Arabidopsis thaliana: one gene and its partners. The protein of the gene in region 1 binds, or shares a complex with, the protein of each later gene. Each region holds a gene or a part of one and is shown on either strand. Other genes may lie near its edges. The genes, in order: RPS17, rps15, AT3G13120 and rps4.

Evidence for each region.
Region 2: RPS17 (region 1) and rps15 share a complex: the UniProt entries of both Arabidopsis thaliana proteins name them as parts of the 30S ribosomal subunit.
Region 3: RPS17 (region 1) and AT3G13120 share a complex: the UniProt entries of both Arabidopsis thaliana proteins name them as parts of the 30S ribosomal subunit.
Region 4: RPS17 (region 1) and rps4 share a complex: the UniProt entries of both Arabidopsis thaliana proteins name them as parts of the 30S ribosomal subunit.

Annotation. Positions count from the first base shown.
Region 1 is NC_003070.9:30,039,958-30,044,234, reverse strand, and holds RPS17 (ribosomal protein S17), read left to right. Parts: upstream 1-2,282; 5' UTR 2,283-2,312; coding exon 2,313-2,762; 3' UTR 2,763-2,992; downstream 2,993-4,277. Other genes in the region: ROPGEF12 (RHO guanyl-nucleotide exchange factor 12), read left to right, coding at 143-533, 617-771, 857-931, 1,038-1,301, 1,401-2,063; GL2 (HD-ZIP IV family of homeobox-leucine zipper protein with lipid-binding START domain-containing protein), read right to left, coding at 3,222-3,602, 3,676-3,762, 3,847-4,118, 4,202-4,277. UniProt on the Arabidopsis thaliana protein: One of the primary rRNA binding proteins, it binds specifically to the 5'-end of 16S ribosomal RNA. Required for optimal plastid performance in terms of photosynthesis and growth. Required for the translation of plastid mRNAs.
Region 2 is NC_000932.1:121,954-125,909, forward strand, and holds rps15 (ribosomal protein S15), read right to left. Parts: upstream 1,610-3,956; coding exon 1,343-1,609; downstream 1-1,342. Other genes in the region: ndhA (NADH dehydrogenase subunit 1), read right to left, coding at 1-56; ndhH (NADH dehydrogenase subunit 7), read right to left, coding at 58-1,239.
Region 3 is NC_003074.8:4,218,105-4,224,106, forward strand, and holds AT3G13120 (Ribosomal protein S10p/S20e family protein), read right to left. Parts: upstream 3,544-6,002; 5' UTR 3,423-3,543; coding exon 3,198-3,422; intron 3,046-3,197; coding exon 3,007-3,045; intron 2,518-3,006; coding exon 2,206-2,517; 3' UTR 2,185-2,205; exon of another isoform or gene 2,169-2,184; intron 1,997-2,168; 3' UTR 1,206-1,996; downstream 1-1,205. Other genes in the region: AT3G13130 (uncharacterized protein), read left to right, coding at 4,904-5,509.
Region 4 is NC_000932.1:44,198-48,672, reverse strand, and holds rps4 (ribosomal protein S4), read left to right. Parts: upstream 1-2,844; coding exon 2,845-3,450; downstream 3,451-4,475. Other genes in the region: photosystem I assembly protein Ycf3, read left to right, coding at 4,082-4,207. UniProt on the Arabidopsis thaliana protein: One of the primary rRNA binding proteins, it binds directly to 16S rRNA where it nucleates assembly of the body of the 30S subunit. With S5 and S12 plays an important role in translational accuracy.

The DNA of each region.
Region 1 (4,277 bases):
TAACAATTACCCTTTATTGTTTTGCGGCTCGATTAGCTTCTCCTTCCCTTTTGATTCTCCCCATCTCAAGAGAGGCCCATTTGATCCTCTCTCTTTCTCTCTCTCTCCTCTCTAATTCTCTATTGCCATCAAGAGACCAGGAATGGTTCGTGCTTCGGAACAAGAACAGGAAACCTATAGGAGCAGGCTCTTCAATTTCAAATGGAGGAACAACGACAACAATAGTGCTACGAGACACAACAAGAGTCTCAGCGTCGAGACCGGTTTAGATGAGGCTGCCACCGGATCCCATGACGCTGAACCATTGACCATTATTCATCCTAGTCAGGGTCCACCACTTTCAAGATCGGCTGCGGATGAAGCAGTCCTCGCCGCCCTCGCCGCCTCACAGGCTAGAGAAAGGCAGCTTTTGGCAGACATGGAGCAGATGAAAGAGCGCTTCTCCAAGCTGTTGCTGGGAGAGGACAATTCCGGTGGAGGCAAAGGAGTATCCTCTGCTCTCGCCCTTTCAAACGCAATCACAAACCTTGCAGGTTGCTTTAGGACCCTCTTTTGTTATTACACTTAGTTTATATTAACCAGCAACCAATATCTCATGTTTATCTTGTTGGTATAGCTTCCGTGTTCGGAGAGCAACGGCGCTTGGAGCCAATGCCTGCAGAAAGAAGAGCAAGATGGAGAAAAGAGATTGATTGGCTTCTCTCCGTGACCGATTACGTGGTTGAGTTTGCTCCATCTCAGCAGAAAAATAAAGATGGGACCAATATGGAGGTTGTCTATCTGCTGCTGCTGCTGCATTATATTTCATTTGGTAACATACAATGATTCCCTTATTCTGTTGGTATTGATTTAACAGATAATGACCACACGCCAACGTACTGACCTCCACATGAATATCCCCGCATTGAAGAAACTGGACGCCATGCTCATCGTAAGACCTCTCTCTCTCTCTCTCTCGTTGACCAAATATCAACCCTACTTTAATAATTTCATTTAGGATATTCAAAAGCATCCTCTTATCCCCCTTTTCTACCTAGGATTGTCTAGAAAATTTCAAGGACCAAAGCGAGTTCAGCTATATCTCAAAAGACTCCCCTGACTTAGACGGTAAGAGAAACGACGAAAAATGGTGGATTCCGACCGTCAAAGTTCCACCAGATGGTCTATCAGAAGCTTCAAGAAGGTTTTTGCAGTACCAGAAAGATTGTGTAAACCAGGTTCTAAAGGCAGCCATGGCCATAAACGCACAGGTTTTGTTCGAGATGGAGATACCTGAGAGCTACATCGACTCTCTCCCAAAGGTAAAAAAAAAAAAAGACACCAACAATTGATGTTATTGATTAGAAGAGTTGATGAAGAATAATACTCACTTGTTTAGTTTGTAATAAATAAATAAACAGAACGGGAGGGCGAGTCTCGGGGATCAGATGTACAAGAATATAACGGTGGACTTCTTTGACCCGGACCAGTTCCTGAGCAGCATGGACATGTCGTCGGAGCACAAGATCGTGGACCTCAAAAACAGAATCGAGGCATCAATCATTATATGGAAACGCAAAATGGTTTATAAAGACAACAAATCATCGGCACCCTGGGCCTCCGGAGTAAGTCTGGAGAAGCGAGAGGTCTTCGAAGAGCGAGCTGAGACCATTTTGCTCATTCTCAAGCAAAGATACCCCGGGATTTCTCAATCTTCACTCGACATCAGCAAAATCCAGTTCAACGAGGACGTGGGCCAGGCGGTGCTGGAGAGCTACTCGAGAATACTGGAAAGCTTGGCCTACACGGTACTTTCCAGAATCGATGACGTTTTAGAGGCAGATCGAGCGGGGAACAAGAGGAACACGCCATTGGAAGCAGAGGAAGAGACGCTGGTTGGGAGCATGACGCTGTCGGATTTCATGGGATGGGACTTCGATCAGGCCGCGAACGCCGAATTGGAGTCGAAGAAGGATCTACCGGATGATCCGTTGATAAAGGAGAAGCTAAGCGTCGTCACGACCAAGAAGACCTCATACCTCGAAACCCTAGGCGGTGTCAAGAGTCCAACGGCACGGCATTGATATTTGTGTGGAAAATTAGGCGCAAAAAAGAGCGAAGACAGATTTATTGATTATTTAATTATTTTTAGGATTCAAAAACTTTACAAAAGGGCTTTTGTAAATTCCTTTTTATGAAAAGGTGGGCTTTTAAGATTAGGCCCAGTTTATTGTAAAACCCATTTACCATCTGTATACTGTATACATCCCTTCTAAATAGTAGTAGTACTCACCTTATCTTCATTTTCATCGATTCGATTCCAAATCGGAAGGATGATAACGTCGTCCCTAACCTCATCTCTGCAAGCTCTCAAGCTTTCGTCTCCGTTCGCCCATGGCTCCACTCCTCTCTCATCTCTCTCTAAGCCCAATTCCTTCCCGAACCACAGAATGCCCGCTTTAGTTCCGGTCATCAGAGCCATGAAAACGATGCAGGGGCGCGTGGTGTGCGCAACCAGTGACAAGACTGTGGCGGTGGAGGTGGTGAGGCTGGCTCCCCACCCCAAGTACAAGAGGCGCGTGAGGATGAAGAAGAAGTACCAAGCTCACGACCCCGATAATCAGTTCAAGGTTGGCGACGTGGTCAGACTGGAAAAGAGCAGACCCATCAGTAAGACTAAATCATTTGTGGCGCTTCCTGTCATCGCAAGGGCCGCCAGGAAAGCCGAAGCCGGAGGAGATGAACTCCTTGGCCTTCCCTTGGAGTCTCAGCAGCCGGCGTAGAGAATGATTGCTCTTTGTTTCTTTTGGTAAAGCCGTCTTTTTTTTGCTCTGCTTCTGTTTGTTTGTTGTGTATCCCGGAACCAGTGTAATTTATGGAATGCTTTTGTGATTTCATTGCTTATGCCATGAGTGTGTTTTCAATCTGATTGTTTCCGACTACCAATTGTTTGCTCTTACTTCATCTTCACCTCCAGTTACATTTAGAATGTGAATTAATATGTTTCTGTTGCTACTGTGTGCTTGTGGTCTCAGTGATCCGACTTTTGTTTCTGCTAATTCTACGGTTCTTGCTCCTCTTGTTATGGTTCATTTGCCAATGGAATGGACCAAAAAGGTGTTGGATAATAATAGGATTGGAGAAGAGAGAGCTGGTCGTTTTTGTACAAAACTTTAATGCACTGCTGCTATACATTATCATATAATTATATATAGGTAAATAATATCTGCTGTGACTTGTCATCAGCAATCTTCGATTTGTAGACTTCTCTTAATGTTGTGTAGTGTGACTGAGACGAGGTTTGTCACGGATTCCACAGACTCCATATTCAGCTTTGCTGCAGGAGAAGGGTTGATGAGGGTTTGGAGGGCGAGTGTCAGGAGCGACCCTCCTTGGCTGTTTCTGTCGTCTTGTGTAGACGTTATTACCAGTGGCCGTGACTCTACTCCATCAGGTATGATTGAGAATCCAGAGGGGAGGATTTGGATGTTGCTTGGATCATGTCCCGCGAGCACCAGCTGTGTCGTGTTTATATCTACGGGAGCGTATACCACCACCGACTCATACGAGTTAGTGCTGCTGTCTTGCAGCACCCATATGCTCTTTTCTCTCGATTTCACTGTCTGGAAATGTATAGAAATTCAGATTATCAAGGCCTAGACAGATTTAGAGGAGGAGAAGACAAAATAAACGCACCTGGATTGCCACTGAGTTGCCTCTGTCTTGTCCCTTGGATAAGTTTGCAATAGACTGAACATGAGCTCCGTTTGACAAAGCATCCCACTGATGATATGTATCGTTAGATAAATATATGAGTGGAAACCGCTTTTCTTGTTTGCTTAAATGTGTGTGAATTTGACAAGGTACCTCATGCCGACGAGCTTCATCTCTAAAGAAATCGAAGAGAAGAGCTGGAGAAACAGGTAACCACAGCGAAGAAGAAGCGCAGACAATGACTCCCGTGGGCTCGCCAGGATCATGAAGGTTCTTCCTGGAAGAAACCCGCATGTCTTGTCCAGTTTTGGTGGTGATTTTGGTCCATTGATGGTAGCTTGATGCAGCAATGGCGCGGTAGAAGCTTTGTGTCATTCTCTGAGCCATCTTCAGCACACTCTTTCTCCCGGCAAGAGTTGTAACTCCTGATTATCAACAGAGGAGTGAAAAGGTTATATATAAAGAAAGATAGAGAGTGTAAATGGAGGATCCGGATATATAGACGGACCGAGAGAGTCTTTGGTGGGGACGTTGGTAGCCATGAAGAAGACAAGGCGTTCGCAATGGAGCTGAAGGGTGGCGAC
Region 2 (3,956 bases), on another chromosome or scaffold:
GATTCCAATTTAACAAAAGAATTTATAGTTTGGACTGCTGTTGCATAAATTATCATTTTAACGATCAACTTCTCCCATAATTATATCTATGCTACCGAGTATCGTCATAATATCAGCCAATTTCATTCTTTTAACTAGTTCAGGAAGAATTTGCAAATTAATAAAACCCGGTGGTCGTATTTTCCATCTCCAAGGAAAACCGCTTTGATCTCCTATGAGAAAAATTCCCAACTCCCCTTTTGGAGCTTCAACTCTTACATAAAGTTCTTGTTTTGATAATTCAAAAGTAGGAGAAGGTTTTTTACTAATGAATCGATATTCAAAATCATTCCATTCTGGATTCCTTTTTCTATCAAAGCCCCTGCTTTCTAAATTCTCATAGGGACCCCCTGGAAGTCCTTCCAGAGCCTGTTGAATAATTTTTATGGATTCTGTCATTTCGCTAAGTCGTACTAAATAACGAGCTAATGAATCTCCTTGTTTTTGCCATTGAATTTCCCATTCAAATTCATCGTAAGACTCATAACGATCAATTTTACGAAGATCCCATGGTATTCCGGATGCGCGTAGCATTGGTCCGGATAAACCCCAATTTATTGCTTCTTCCCCACCAATAATCCCAACTCCTTCAACCCGTTCTAAAAAAATAGGATTTCGTGTAATGAGTTTTTGATATTCAACAACCTCTGTTAAAAAATAATCACAAAAATCCAAGCATTTATCTATCCAACCATAAGGTAAATCAGCCGCTATTCCTCCAATACGAAAAAAATTATGCATCATTCTCATACCGGTGGCAGCTTCGAATAGATCATATACAAATTCTCGTTCTCTGAAAATATAGAAAAAGGGAGTCTGTGCACCAATATCTGCCATAAAAGGGCCGAGCCATAACAGATGAGAAGCTATACGACTCAATTCCAGCATAATTACTCTGATATAGCTGGCCCTTTTAGGAACTTGAATATTTCCCAATTGTTCTGGTCCATTTACTGTTATTGCTTCTGTAAACATAGTAGCTAAATAATCCCATCGCGTTACATACGGTAAATATTGTATAATTGCTCGGTTTTCTGCAATTTTTTCCATTCCTCTGTGTAAATAACCTAATATGGGTTCACAGTCAACAACATCCTCACCATCTAGAGTAACAATTAAGCGAAGAACACCATGCATGGATGGGTGGTGAGGTCCCATATTGACTATCATAAGATCTTTTCCTGTAACTGGTCTCTTCATAAGTTTTTCCTTGATTCGTTCTGGCATGAATTAGATTTCTGAATAAAGAAGTTTATCAAAAAATTCAAGATCTAAAAAATTCACTAATTCACAATTTTTGAATTTAACGAGTTTTTAATTCCCGAATATTCAACTGATTAATTAATTCTTTATAACGTACTCTATTTTTTTTTGACAAATAAGCCAGCAGTCGTTGACGTTTTCCCAGAATTTTTCGTAGACCCCGCTGAGATAAATAATCTTTTCTGTGCAATTCCAAATGTGAAGTAAGTCTTCGTATCTTATTAGTGAAACTAAATACTTGAAATTCAACGGATCCCCTGCTTTCTTCTTTTTGTTCTTCAAATGAAATGACTATATTTTTTATCATAAAAAGAAATCCTTCCCCTTTTAATATGAATTGAAAGATATTAATTTTACTGATCAGTAATAATAATGGTAGTTTTTTTGTACAAGGATCTTAATTTAATTATCAACCTCTTAATTCTTCATTTTAGAAAAAAATCTAAATTTAGATCTCAAAAAGAAGGATTCTGTTAATTTATTTATGAATCCGCTATAATTGGTATCTATGTGATTGATTAAATTAATCTCATGTATAAAGATTTAATTTAAAACAATCCCTCATATTTGTGCATATAGTTGTTTTCATATACCGTAACTTATTATATATAGTAAAAAGTATTTATGATTAAGGAATTGGAAATCGCGTATACATGCGTATTCTTATCATACTGAAATGATTTCCGTTAGTAGTATTAAACCAATAGCGATTCATACAAGCTAAATCTTCTAATTTAAAATTGGGCCAAAGAAAGGATTTTAAATTAATTAAGTTATTTTTATCCTTATCAAGATCAAGATCTTTCTTTTTATGCAAAACGGTGGTCAAGTTTTGAATATTCTTATCAAATCTTGAATTTGTATCCCTAGCATTTTTTTTTTTTAAGTTGAAACAAATTAGAATTCGAAATTCTCTACGTCGTTTAGGGGATAGAATTTTTTCAGGGACAAAGAAATCATAATTATTTTTTTTTTTATTTACAGTTTTGTTTTGATATTTTGTAATGGATTTTTCAAAAAATTTTTTATTAATATAGCTTTTTTTTTTGTATCTTTTACTTATTTTGTGTTTATTTTTATGAACCAATGAAATACCTATGGTTCTATATATAATAAGTTGTCCATCGTTTTGTACAGACAAACGCACAGGTTCAATAATCAATATTCCTTTTTTCATTAATTTTGCAAAAGTGAAATTTTTCTCAATCATTAGAATGTCTAGGCTCATCTCTCCTCTTTCAATAGAAGATACCGCTATTTCGTTTGGATTGTTTAGTCTAACCAAGAGACAGTATACTTTTACATTATTGAGAATTTTTTGATTAAAAAAACAATTCCATCGCAATTGAAAACGCGAATATCTTGTCAGAAATAAATCAAGTTCCGCTTCTGTATTACTTTTGTATTGTTTTTTATTTTTACGTTTTTTTATTGTTGATTCTGCAAAATTTTCTTCAATATTTTTTTCTTGGTTTAATCGAGCTGCTTCGGGATTTCTTTTTGTTTCTTTATCTGATTCAAGTTCTACTTGACCGGCCGATTCTTTTTCTTCTTTATTCAGATTATAAAATCGAAGGGATTCTTTTTCATTTGATGGTATAAAACCTTTTTTCTTTCGAATGATCTTTTTATTAACATTTATGTTTTCATTAAAATTTAAAAGAAGTAATTTGATTGGTATGACCCATGGTTTCATTTTATATGTACTAGAAAATAAGAAAAATTCCGGAAAGAAAAAAAATTCAAAATTTGTTATACGCTGATTTAGTATTTCTTCATTCATTCCCATCCAATCAAAAAAGTTTCTTTTTTTATTAGCAAGATCCGTCTGCGTTATTTTATCAATTTTTTGATAATTCTGAACTTTAGTATTAATATATTTTTTTTTACTCTTAGTATCAACCCAAGGCTCAATAGTTACTTTTTTTGTAAACCAAAAGTTAAGAATTCTCCAATCCAAATATTTTCTATGCCGAATTTCCCCCATACCCCGAATATTATATTTTTCTAGAAAAGAAGAGACTAAACAATTATCTAGGGCAATGCCTATAGACATGTCAAAATTTTTTTCTGTAGAATGAATAGATTTATAGCAAAAAAGATTATATATAGAATCTTTTTTTACATTATGTTTTGGATTTAATAATGAGTCGGCCTCAAAAAATTTTTGTTTTTTATAATTATCAAATTTCTTTTTTTCATATGAATCCTCTTTGGTTAAACTTGGGTTTAGAACTAGAGAATCTTTATTTATTTTATTTTTCCAATTTTGGGTTACTAATCTAGCCCATGAAATCTGGGGTAAATTGTATTGATACTGACTTCGTAACCAGTTTTTCCATTGATTTACTTCGGAATTCAAAAAGGTTTTATTTTTCAATTCATAATGAAAGATTCCGTGTTCTTGAAAAAAAACCTTTATTTTATTCTTAACAAAAAAGGATGTTATGCATATGTTATATTCAAGAACAGCCTTTAATTTACAAAAGTTACTAACTTTAATTTGTGATAATTTGTAAAATACATATGCTTGTGATAAAGAGCATAGGTCATAACTCATTTTTTTTTTATTGGATATTAAATTTTTTATAGTCGAAATAAAATAAAGAGTATTTTTTTTTTTTTCTCCATTTTCTTCATTCTTGTAAATATAT
Region 3 (6,002 bases), on another chromosome or scaffold:
TAGTCTATAGATCCGTGAAGCCATCGTCCTATTTTCAAGCCAAAGTCACTTGAATTTATCATGTGGCTCTCGCTCTTTCTGATCAATTAAATAGCTTTATCAATTAACATAATCATATGATGTGAAAACCAAAAAATTAACATAATAAAAAGCTTATATGTTAAAACGAAGATATTTGACTACCAGCGACTTAATAAACTATATCCAAGTGAGATTGTGTGAAAAAAAATAACTATTTGTTATGTTTAGAATCAATTTCTTCGATGGGTTTTAGATAAATATTTTATTTAAGTAACTGCCATCCCAAACAACAAGGGGAAAATACAAATTGAAGGTGTTGTTTTCTAATAAAACAAACAATTGGTATTACAGAAATTCAAAATCAGTGGGAACCCCTCCAATTATTTTCCGACAATCAGTGAGGTCTCAAAATACTACAACCAAAAGAAGAAATATATGTTTTCTTTTCTTTTTTTTTTGTCTTAAAATTATATTTTGTTTCCTTTCAGTTTCAGCCGTTGAAAATATTGTCTCTTCGAGTGTGGAAAACATAAAACCCTGTTTGTTTGATGCTTCTAATGTGGCCATGTATTTTCGATCAGGATTAGTGAACAATAAGACTGAATTAGAACAAAGCAATTCTGATATGAGGATACCATAATCACGAATAATGAATCACAGCTAAACTTTTATTAAAGTTAGAGAAAATAGTGACTCATAAGACATAGTATACTAGTTCATATCAGTGTTATTATCACCTTACATATTTGATCCAATATGAGTGTTTTGGTATATCAATATGAACCAGAGTTTAACCATTTGGTTGAACGCAAAATAGTTTTGAATATGTTTATGCAAATTGCAATAAACCCAAAATGGTAGTAAAAGAAAATACAACCCATAATGGTACTACTTGAAAGTTTATCATAAAACCGATCTCGTAAAATATAAGATTATGGAAGCAGAAATTATGTATGATTTCAGTAATGCTGTGAAAAAAAAAAGCAATTTATTCGAGTGTTTTTGAGAACAAACTATAATCAAAATAAATAATAATGGACGGTCCATGTTGGTATATCGTGGGAATATGCCTTAACTTTAACGACTATTATAAACCGCCACATCATTGTCTCATCTACTTAAACCAAATTCAATTTTGGCGACTATTCGTTTTCTTTCTTCTTTGGTCAAGACATTATCTTACAATGAACCACTTCTTACTATACCAAAAACCATTTCATATGATTAAAATAATGATATAGTTGTGTGTATGATTGAACATGGAAAAGAATATTCTTCAACTTTATAATATTGGGGGGTTGACAATTTCTGCATCATCCAAAATTCCAAATTAGATAAGAAAAAGCGCCATCGACTTATCAGACATAAATTCGAAACCATTACTGTTTTTTCCCTTGGATCGTTTCGTAAGCTTGGAAAGGAAAGACTGGTAAAACAACACTTGCAGGTTTTAATTGGCTGCTAAGAAAAGAGACGAACTGAGTCTAGAGGATAATTGATAAATGAAATGTGTTGTGACAAAAAATTATAATTTCCCTATTGAGTTTGTGGATAAACGAACTTATACGTTTATTATAATAATGAAGTCGCTTTCAAGATTCCAACCTCCTGGTTTTAAAATAACTCAAGTTGTGCATCTTCTTATTCCTACTATAATACTACTATAATACTTATATTCAAAAAAAAGATTCCACTTTGAATACAACAAAAATAAAAAAACTTATCATAATGGACACAGGCAAACTGCATAACAATTAGTAAAACAAAAACAAATTCCTTTGAACTTGCTTAATTAAGGATATGTTCATCAACTAAGAACCAAGCATCGCTAAAGATAGATTCCAAGGACCAGATAATACAACTTACATTTTCGTTACAAAGGTTCTCAAAAAAGATGATACAAGGCTTACCAGTTCTAAGCAATGTAGTTGATCTGAAACAGTCTGTTCATTCAATGCAAAAGTGCCCATCACATCTGAGGAAGAAAAAACACTTTGGTTAAGAACAAGCATCAAGATCTTGATGGTCAACAGAGAAAGATTGTAATTTGATGAAGTTTTGTTTTTGAGGATAAATATTGGAGCCTATGTGCAGTTTCAGTAGCTAAGACACATCAATATTCAAAAACCATTAAGAAGAGAGATCACTTTTTTTGTTTGTTACCATTGTAGTTACGCTTCTTCTTCAGAGCTTCACTTCCACATCGACACCAGCAGGAAGATCAAGTTGCATCAAAGAATCGATAGTTTGAGCAGTCGGGTAGAGAATATCAATCATGCGCTGGTGTGTCCGGATTTCAAAATGGAACCTAGCATCCTTGTGAACGTGAGGAGACTTGAGAACACAGTAGATACGCTTCTTGGTTGGCAATGGAACAGGACCCATCGTCTTTGCATTGGTGTTTCTCGCAGCATCAAGTATCTGCTTGCATGAGTCCTCAATAAGAGGCACCCAGTATGATCTAAGCTTGATCCTAATCTTTTGCTTTGGCGCCATCTGATAACACAAAAATAAATCAAATTAAACCAAACACAATGAAACTCCACAAGACCCCTTAAAACAAAACTCTATTGTGGCAAATCTTATGAAGATACCATCTAAAGACGATCAAGATTTCTATACAATTACTTCTCCTTTCCTGTATATACAAGATGATATCTACTTGAAGGCATTTCACACAAATGAGACTCTTTATCGCTCTGAAAAAACGTAGTAAACCAAAGAAGTCTATTGATCTGACAAAGATAGACATTGAAGACATCAAATTTGAAAATTTGCGTATCAATTTCTAGCAGTGACCTCTAACACAGCAATGGGCATTGGTGTTAGAACAGATATGATACTTTTTAGCGCTGTGAAAACGTAGTAAAGCAAAAAAGTCTACTGTTTTGACGAAGATGGACACAGAATTTAGAACACACCAATGCACAAGTACTCGTAAAATCTGTATTCTAGTAAGTGAGCTGTAACAGTAACGGAATATACCTTATCCGCGTCTACACTGATGGATGAAGAGCTCGGAACCTGAATCACACAGACACAAAGACTATTATTAACAGAATTAACATCAAAGTGCTAAATGATTCTGCAAAACAATGTCTTTCCCCCCCCCCCCCCAAATTTCGCATTAGCTCTGCAAACAATCGAATCCGAGACTGACAGAGGAAAGAGTGTACCTCAGAGGCGGGTTCATCGAGAATTTCTGGAGTTGGATCTAGGGTATCGGGAACAGCGAAGACCTTCGTAAGCGAGACGGATGGTTTCGTAAGGACGCAGGAACTAAGGCCGCCATGGGTAGAAGATGAAGGCAGCAGAGAGACTTTGAGTCTGGTAGAAGAAGGCGAAGAGCTTGGAATGCCGAAAGATGGCAATAGAAACGACGATACAGTAGAAACCGCCATTGAATTTTCCCAAAACCACGAATCGATTTCTCTTATTCTTCTTCCTCTTAACGTTCGAAGGATGAGGTTTCTTCTTCAGCAGCTTCTTCTTGAGGGTTATCCATTTTATCCAAAACCTTTTTCTCTCTTTTTTAAATGATGAGATATTATTTATTCTAAGCCCATTAATTCATTAAAAGGCCTACGCTTATTATAAATGAATACCCATTAGGCCCAAATTGTATAGTTTCTGTTAGGGACCAAAAGTACCCATTAGGCCCATATTTTATAGTTCTTTTGGGGACCAAAAATATTCTAACCTAGTAAAATATGATTCATTTGTCTTTCGGTATTTTCTTTCTTGTGGATTGTGATCTGTCTTTAGAAGATTCTTTTGTATCTCATAAATATCTTTTGGAAAATTCAACACACAAACATTCGTGAAGTAGATGGAAAATTTAAGAAAAGTGGAAGACAAAATGAACTACTTGACAAACAAAACCCCATGAAAATATGCAATGAATGTGGAAAAAAATGGACAATATAAATATTCGATGAAATAATACAAACTCATAAAATAATATTAATTTGAATACAAAAGACAATAATATCAAGGAAGGATTCCGTAGTTTTGATTTTTGACTTTTAAATGCATTGTTCTTAATTTTATCTGTAATTGTGTGATCCATAATCTGTAAATATATACCTTCAAATGTGTGATCCATAATCTCACACGGAAATATAAGGTGTTAGCGTAGTTCAAGTATAATTTTTTTTTAATAAAAGCAAAATACATGTAGAAGAAGCCTAACAATTAACATAATGATGTCGCCAAATCCATGCAATTTAAAGAAGGAAAATGACTTAAACCAATCAAAGACATAAAAGACAATGACATCTTCTAAATATTATTGTCCACAAGCCCTCACACTATTCAAAGACCAATCATCCCTTACTATTCCGTTTGTATTTGTCTCAATCATGAGTATTTTTTTTTATATATATCATCAAGCTATACATGACTTAAAAGTCATATTCCTTTACCATTAACATACCATAAAAGCTAAGTCATCATGTATAGCTTGATGATATAAAAAGAAAAAAAATCCGAATTCCATCAGAGGTCATAAAAGATTCGGAACTTTTGGAACACTAACCAGAGGTCGTTTCGCAATGTAACCAATAATAGGACATAAGAAAACATGGATTAGTTGACAAACAAACAATAGAAGAAACACAGAGACTTTTTTTTATCCACATAACTGGGAAATCACACTTCACACGTGGCATGCAGCCATGCAGCTTCAGAACAAGGGGTGGTTTGGTAAAATCATCCACAGATGCCCATTGCCTTTGGCTTAAATTCTATAAATACCAAAGCCGTTGAGTGTAGTGTAACGCTTTGCACAATTACACTTTAACCTGTTTAATTCCTTCTTCTTCTTCTTCTTATTCTAGTCCTCACCATTCACTCACAAAACCAAAGAAAAGAAACCAGAGAGATGGATCAAATAAAACCGGAGTTTCTGAAGAAATTGACCAAGTTTATAGCAGTTTCGATGTGGATTTTATCTCTTTTAACCAGCCACGACTTCTATTTATATAGGTTCATGATCCAACTCGTAACACACGCAGTAGATAAAAACTACATGTTCCTCCTCTGCAATGGTCTCGTAGTGGTTGTTGCTAAGTGTTCTGGTTTGGTCGCTTCGTCCAAACCAATAGAGAAAATTTGGAGTAATACCGATAAAACCTTTGATTATGGAGATTTCGAGAGTTACACTACGATACTGGAGCTAGAGTATAAATCTGATCATGGAATAGGAACAGAGTCCTTTCTTGCAGAGGAAGTTACAGTGGAGGAAGATACAAAACATCAAGAAACCGAGGACAACGAAGAAGAAGATGACGACGACAACACATTAGCAGATAATGATGGAGAGGAAGAGTGTGGTCTTCGTGGCGGATCTATAAACGAGGAAGAAGAAGGGAACGTAGGAGTGATGACATCGACGGAGGAGGAGATGAATAAGAAATTCGACGAGTTCATCAGAAAGATGAAGGAAGAGCTTAGAATCGAAGCTAAACGGCATTTAATCCTTGTTTGAGTACTTTCTAATTAATCAGTTTTGTTTAAGTTTAATCAAACGCAATTTGCTCATATAGAGAGCGAGTTACGTTTTCTAGCTTCTTCTACATCCTCCTAGCCTCTGTAAGCATCTCTTTTAATGGAATCCTTTTTAAATCTAAGTAATTCTCTCGCGTTACACTTTTTCTTGAAAATTGTTACCTCGTATATATTATGCAAAAATGAAACTCGTCAAATACGATTAAACTACAATATGATCATATACATACAAAATTATATGTTTACATATTTCATATCGAACTCCATTATTAGTTCTATAGGCTAGACTGATGTACTACATGTTTTTAGCGGTGTGTTGTCTACACCCGATAGTTTCGGGGGAATAATGCTGTCCGTGCATGCACACGTGTATACCTTTGCATATAATGAATTTTCAATGTCAAAGAAAAACGTATGATGGATATTCCTAATTCTATATGTCTTTTAGGAGATGATGTACTTTCGTGTAAACA
Region 4 (4,475 bases), on another chromosome or scaffold:
TAAAAAATGAGCCAATAGGATGAACTAAAAAAAAAGAGTTCTGCATTATGAACTTTGTATCGCGCACATAACTTAGTCAACTTTAGTCACATAACTGGGAATGAATAAATAAGATCGGAAAGCAATAAATGAAGGGGGGGATACAATTCTATTTCTATTGTATCTAATGAACCTTGGGGTATTTTTGCCCTTCAACTATAGTATACTATACATATAGACCTTTTTTTACTTGTTTGATTCAACGGAACTCATTTAACCTTTCCTTTCGGATATGTATTATGTATCAAGTATTATACATTCTTTTTGAACGGCTGGATTCACAACATGAACAAAAAAAAGAGAGGGGATAAAGCATAATTGCACTTTTTTTACTAAAGATACGTTTAATTTGAAGAATAAAAACTTATCAAAATTAATAAATCCTCTGCCAAGAACCAGATTTGAACTGGTGACACGAGGATTTTCAGTCCTCTGCTCTACCAACTGAGCTATCCCGGCGAAGGATCATCCTCGTTTTACGAATGGTGGCACAACGATTTCAAGTCCCCCGGAAAAAAGCTATGTCCACCATTAGTCTACTGAAGTATCAAGTATCATCTACTGAAGTATCATGCTCGTTTTCCTAATGGTGACACGAGGATTTCGAGTCCTCTGCAAAAAAGCTATGTCTACCTTTACTGAAGGATCATTATCATGTGACACAGGGATTTTAAGTCCCCCGCAATTAAGCTATGCCGACCATTACTGAGGTATCATCTACTGAAGTATCATCTTGCTTTTACTAATGGTGACATAAGGATTTTCAGTCCTCTACTAATGGTGACATAAGGATTTTCAGTCCTCTGCAACTAAGCTATGTCGACCATTACCGAAGGATCATCTTGCTTTTACTAATGGTGACACAAGGATTTTCAGTCCCCCGCAATTAAGCTATGTGTACCATTACCGAAGTATAATCTACTGAAGTATCAGTATCATTTTAATATATGACTTAGGTCTATGTCAATGAAAAGAAACTCAAAAGTAGTAAATTCAAAAAGTTGTGGACCGGGAATTTCTTGGATTTTATAAATAAAAGAAGACTTTCTAAGTTTGAAAATGAAAAATGATATAGATTATAAATAATTCAAATAAATAATAACGAAAAAAAGGTAAGGTGTCAACCTTTTCGGGGAGTAGAGCTGGGGATAGAGGGACTTGAACCCTCACGATTTTAAAAGTCAACGGATTTTCATCTTACTATAAATTTCATTGTTGTCAGTATTGACATGTAAAATGGGACTCTATCTTTATTCTCGTCCGATTAATTAAGTTCCATCAAGGATCTATCAGACTATGAAGTGAATAATTTTATTTTAATCAAGAAATATTATTTCTTAAACTTCGAATTGATTCACAACATTTTGATTTTGTTTATAAAAAAATAGAAATCGAGATTCAGGTCGTCATTTTTGAGATCGTTTTGTGTTACCTAAATTTATACAATATAGGTTTTTATCCTTCATCCTTTTTGATTTGAAGTTTCGATCGAAGGATTCCTTTATGAACACAAGGTAGTGAACTCCATTTGTTAGAACAGCTTCCATTGAGTCTCTGCACCTATCCCTTTTTTCGCGCTTTGTAAACTCCGGTTTGTTCGCGTAAACCAGGATTTGGCTCAGGATTGCCCATTGTTAATTCCAGGGTTTCTCTGAATTTGAAAGTTATCACTTAGTAGGTTTCCATACCAAGGCTCAATCCAATTAAGTCCGTAGCGTCTACCAATTCCGCCATATCCCCTTTTTTAGGATCTCATTATGATGTCTTTCCTTTTTTTTCTTATGCCGAAACCTCGGGATTCATTACATTATAGATACTTATTTTATGTCTTTGTTATCTTCTTTTATTTTTTTGAGCTCCATCCATATTGATTTAGTCTAATCAACAAAGATTCTATCATTTTTGTATTTGCAATTCAATATGGTTATATATTACATAACATATATATGTTCTTTTTTTTTTCATCTTTGGCTTAAATTTTCAGAAATAGTCGAACGGTCGATTCTTTTTTTTTTTTTTACTTTCATGAAAAGAAATTTATTATTATTATTATTGAAACTTAGAATTCTACAATGTGCAATGGAAAAAAATTATAAGTCTACTTCGTAAATTTGAAATTCTAATAATTCTATACTATTCTATGACTATATAGATATATATATAGAATTAAGGTTATGTTTTATTTATTTAATGATGAATGATAGTCACTATTTATGTGAGCTATATTCTGTTCTAGAATATATAGAATATCATTAATTCTAACTAGATAAGGAAAAATATTAATAGAATAGTTAATTGATACGATCTAGTAGTTTAGTGAATTTGTATGCATGCGCTATTTTATTTGAGCCCGCTTAGCTCAGAGGTTAGAGCATCGCATTTGTAATGCGATGGTCATCGGTTCGATTCCGATAGCCGGCTTTTCCATATTTTTTCGTTTTTTTTTACATGATTTTTAATGTACTTTCAAAATCAAAGAAGATTGAAAAGACTTCTTTGACCTTTTTCCAAGAGTTACCACTCCATTTATATTATGTCATATAAACTTCCATATTAGGAATATATATTGGGTAAAAGAGTTTGATCTTTGCAAAATTAATCAAGAAAATAAAGGAAAATTTTTGTGATTTAGTTGATTTATATATATTGTATATACAATAAAAAAAATCTGTATATTGAGAGAATATATCTTCTTACTCTTTGTATTCCAATAGTGGAGTGTATTTCACGTCATTTATCATTATCATTTAGTTCAGTTTTAATTTTATTTAGTTTTGTACAATTTCAATCAAAAAAGGAGTCTTTATGTCACGTTACCGAGGGCCTCGTTTTAAAAAAATACGCCGTCTGGGGGCTTTACCGGGACTAACTAGTAAAAGGCCTAAGGCAGGAAGCGATCTTAGAAACCAATCACGCTCCGTAAAAAAATCTCAATATCGTATTCGTTTAGAAGAAAAACAAAAATTGCGTTTTCATTATGGTCTTACAGAACACCAATTACTTAAATATGTGCGTATAGCCGGAAAAGCCAAGGGGTCAACAGGTCAAGTTTTACTACAATTACTTGAAATGCGTTTGGATAACATCCTTTTTCGATTGGGTATGGCTTTGACTATTCCTCAAGCGCGCCAATTAGTTAATCATGGACATATTTTAGTTAATGGTCGTATAGTTGATATACCAAGTTATCGCTGCAAACCCCGAGATATTATTACAGTGAAGGATGAACAAAACTCTAGAACTTTGGTTCAAAATCTTCTTGATTCATCTGCCCCTGAGGAATTGCCAAACCATCTGACTCTTCACACATTCCAATATGAAGGGTTAGTCAATCAAATAATAGATAGGAAATGCGTCGGTTTGAAAATAAATGAATTGCTTGTCGTAGAATATTACTCTCGACAGACTTAATAAACCTAACTTAAGTAAAAAAAAAAATTACTAAAAACAAGAGTTCGGACAACTCCCCTTTTCCATTAAAAATAAAAAGGCACAAGGTAAGGGATTTTGTCAAAGAATATTTTTCCTATTCATGTATCATAGATTGGTAGGGAGATTGGGATCCCTTGTTTGCTCTTCCCAGCATTTTCCATATGAAAGAAATTAGGAATAGAGAATCTATTTCAAAATCAAAACAAGGTAGATCTTATATCGATTCTTTTTTATTGGATTTGATACATTGTGGTCAATCACGTAAGATTGGTGAATTTGTTGAAAGTACGGAAAGAGAGGGATTCGAACCCTCGGTAAACAAAAGTCTACATAACAGTTCCAATGTTACGCCTTCAACCACTCGGCCATCTCTCCGACATCAAGATTATGACTGAGTATCTGGGTGAATAGCGAGTTATTCATCGTTTTTTAGATTATGGTTAATAGATACCCTTTTTGACCGGAAAATTTGGAAGTAGATAGAAGGTTTTTTTTAATGAGTCCGCTTTTATGTTAGTTCGTACTATACAATTCCTTTGTTTGTGAGAAAATTTTCTCACAAAAGAAAAGGTAAAGGAAATAAAAAGAGTTAGAGAATGGATTACTACCTATGCCAAGATCGCGTATAAATGGAAATTTTATTGATAAAACCTTTACAATTGTAGCCGATATCTTATTACGAGTCATTCCGACAACTTCCGGAGAAAAAGAGGCATTTACTTATTACAGAGATGGTGCGATTTGATTATCATTATTTTTTTTCTCGCCGATTTTGATTGGAATAGAAAGAAAAACGAGTATTGAAAAAAAATCTACGCTTTTGAAGGTGAAGTTTATAATATAAAAAAAACAATCCCTTCTGTCATGTATCCACGATTAATGCAGCCTTAGATGCTTCAATTGTGAATTATAGTATTGAGCAAAAGGTTTTTACCTATGGTTCCCGTATTACAGATCAATCCTACTACACTAATACAATATACGAATAGGAGGCATAGGGGAAG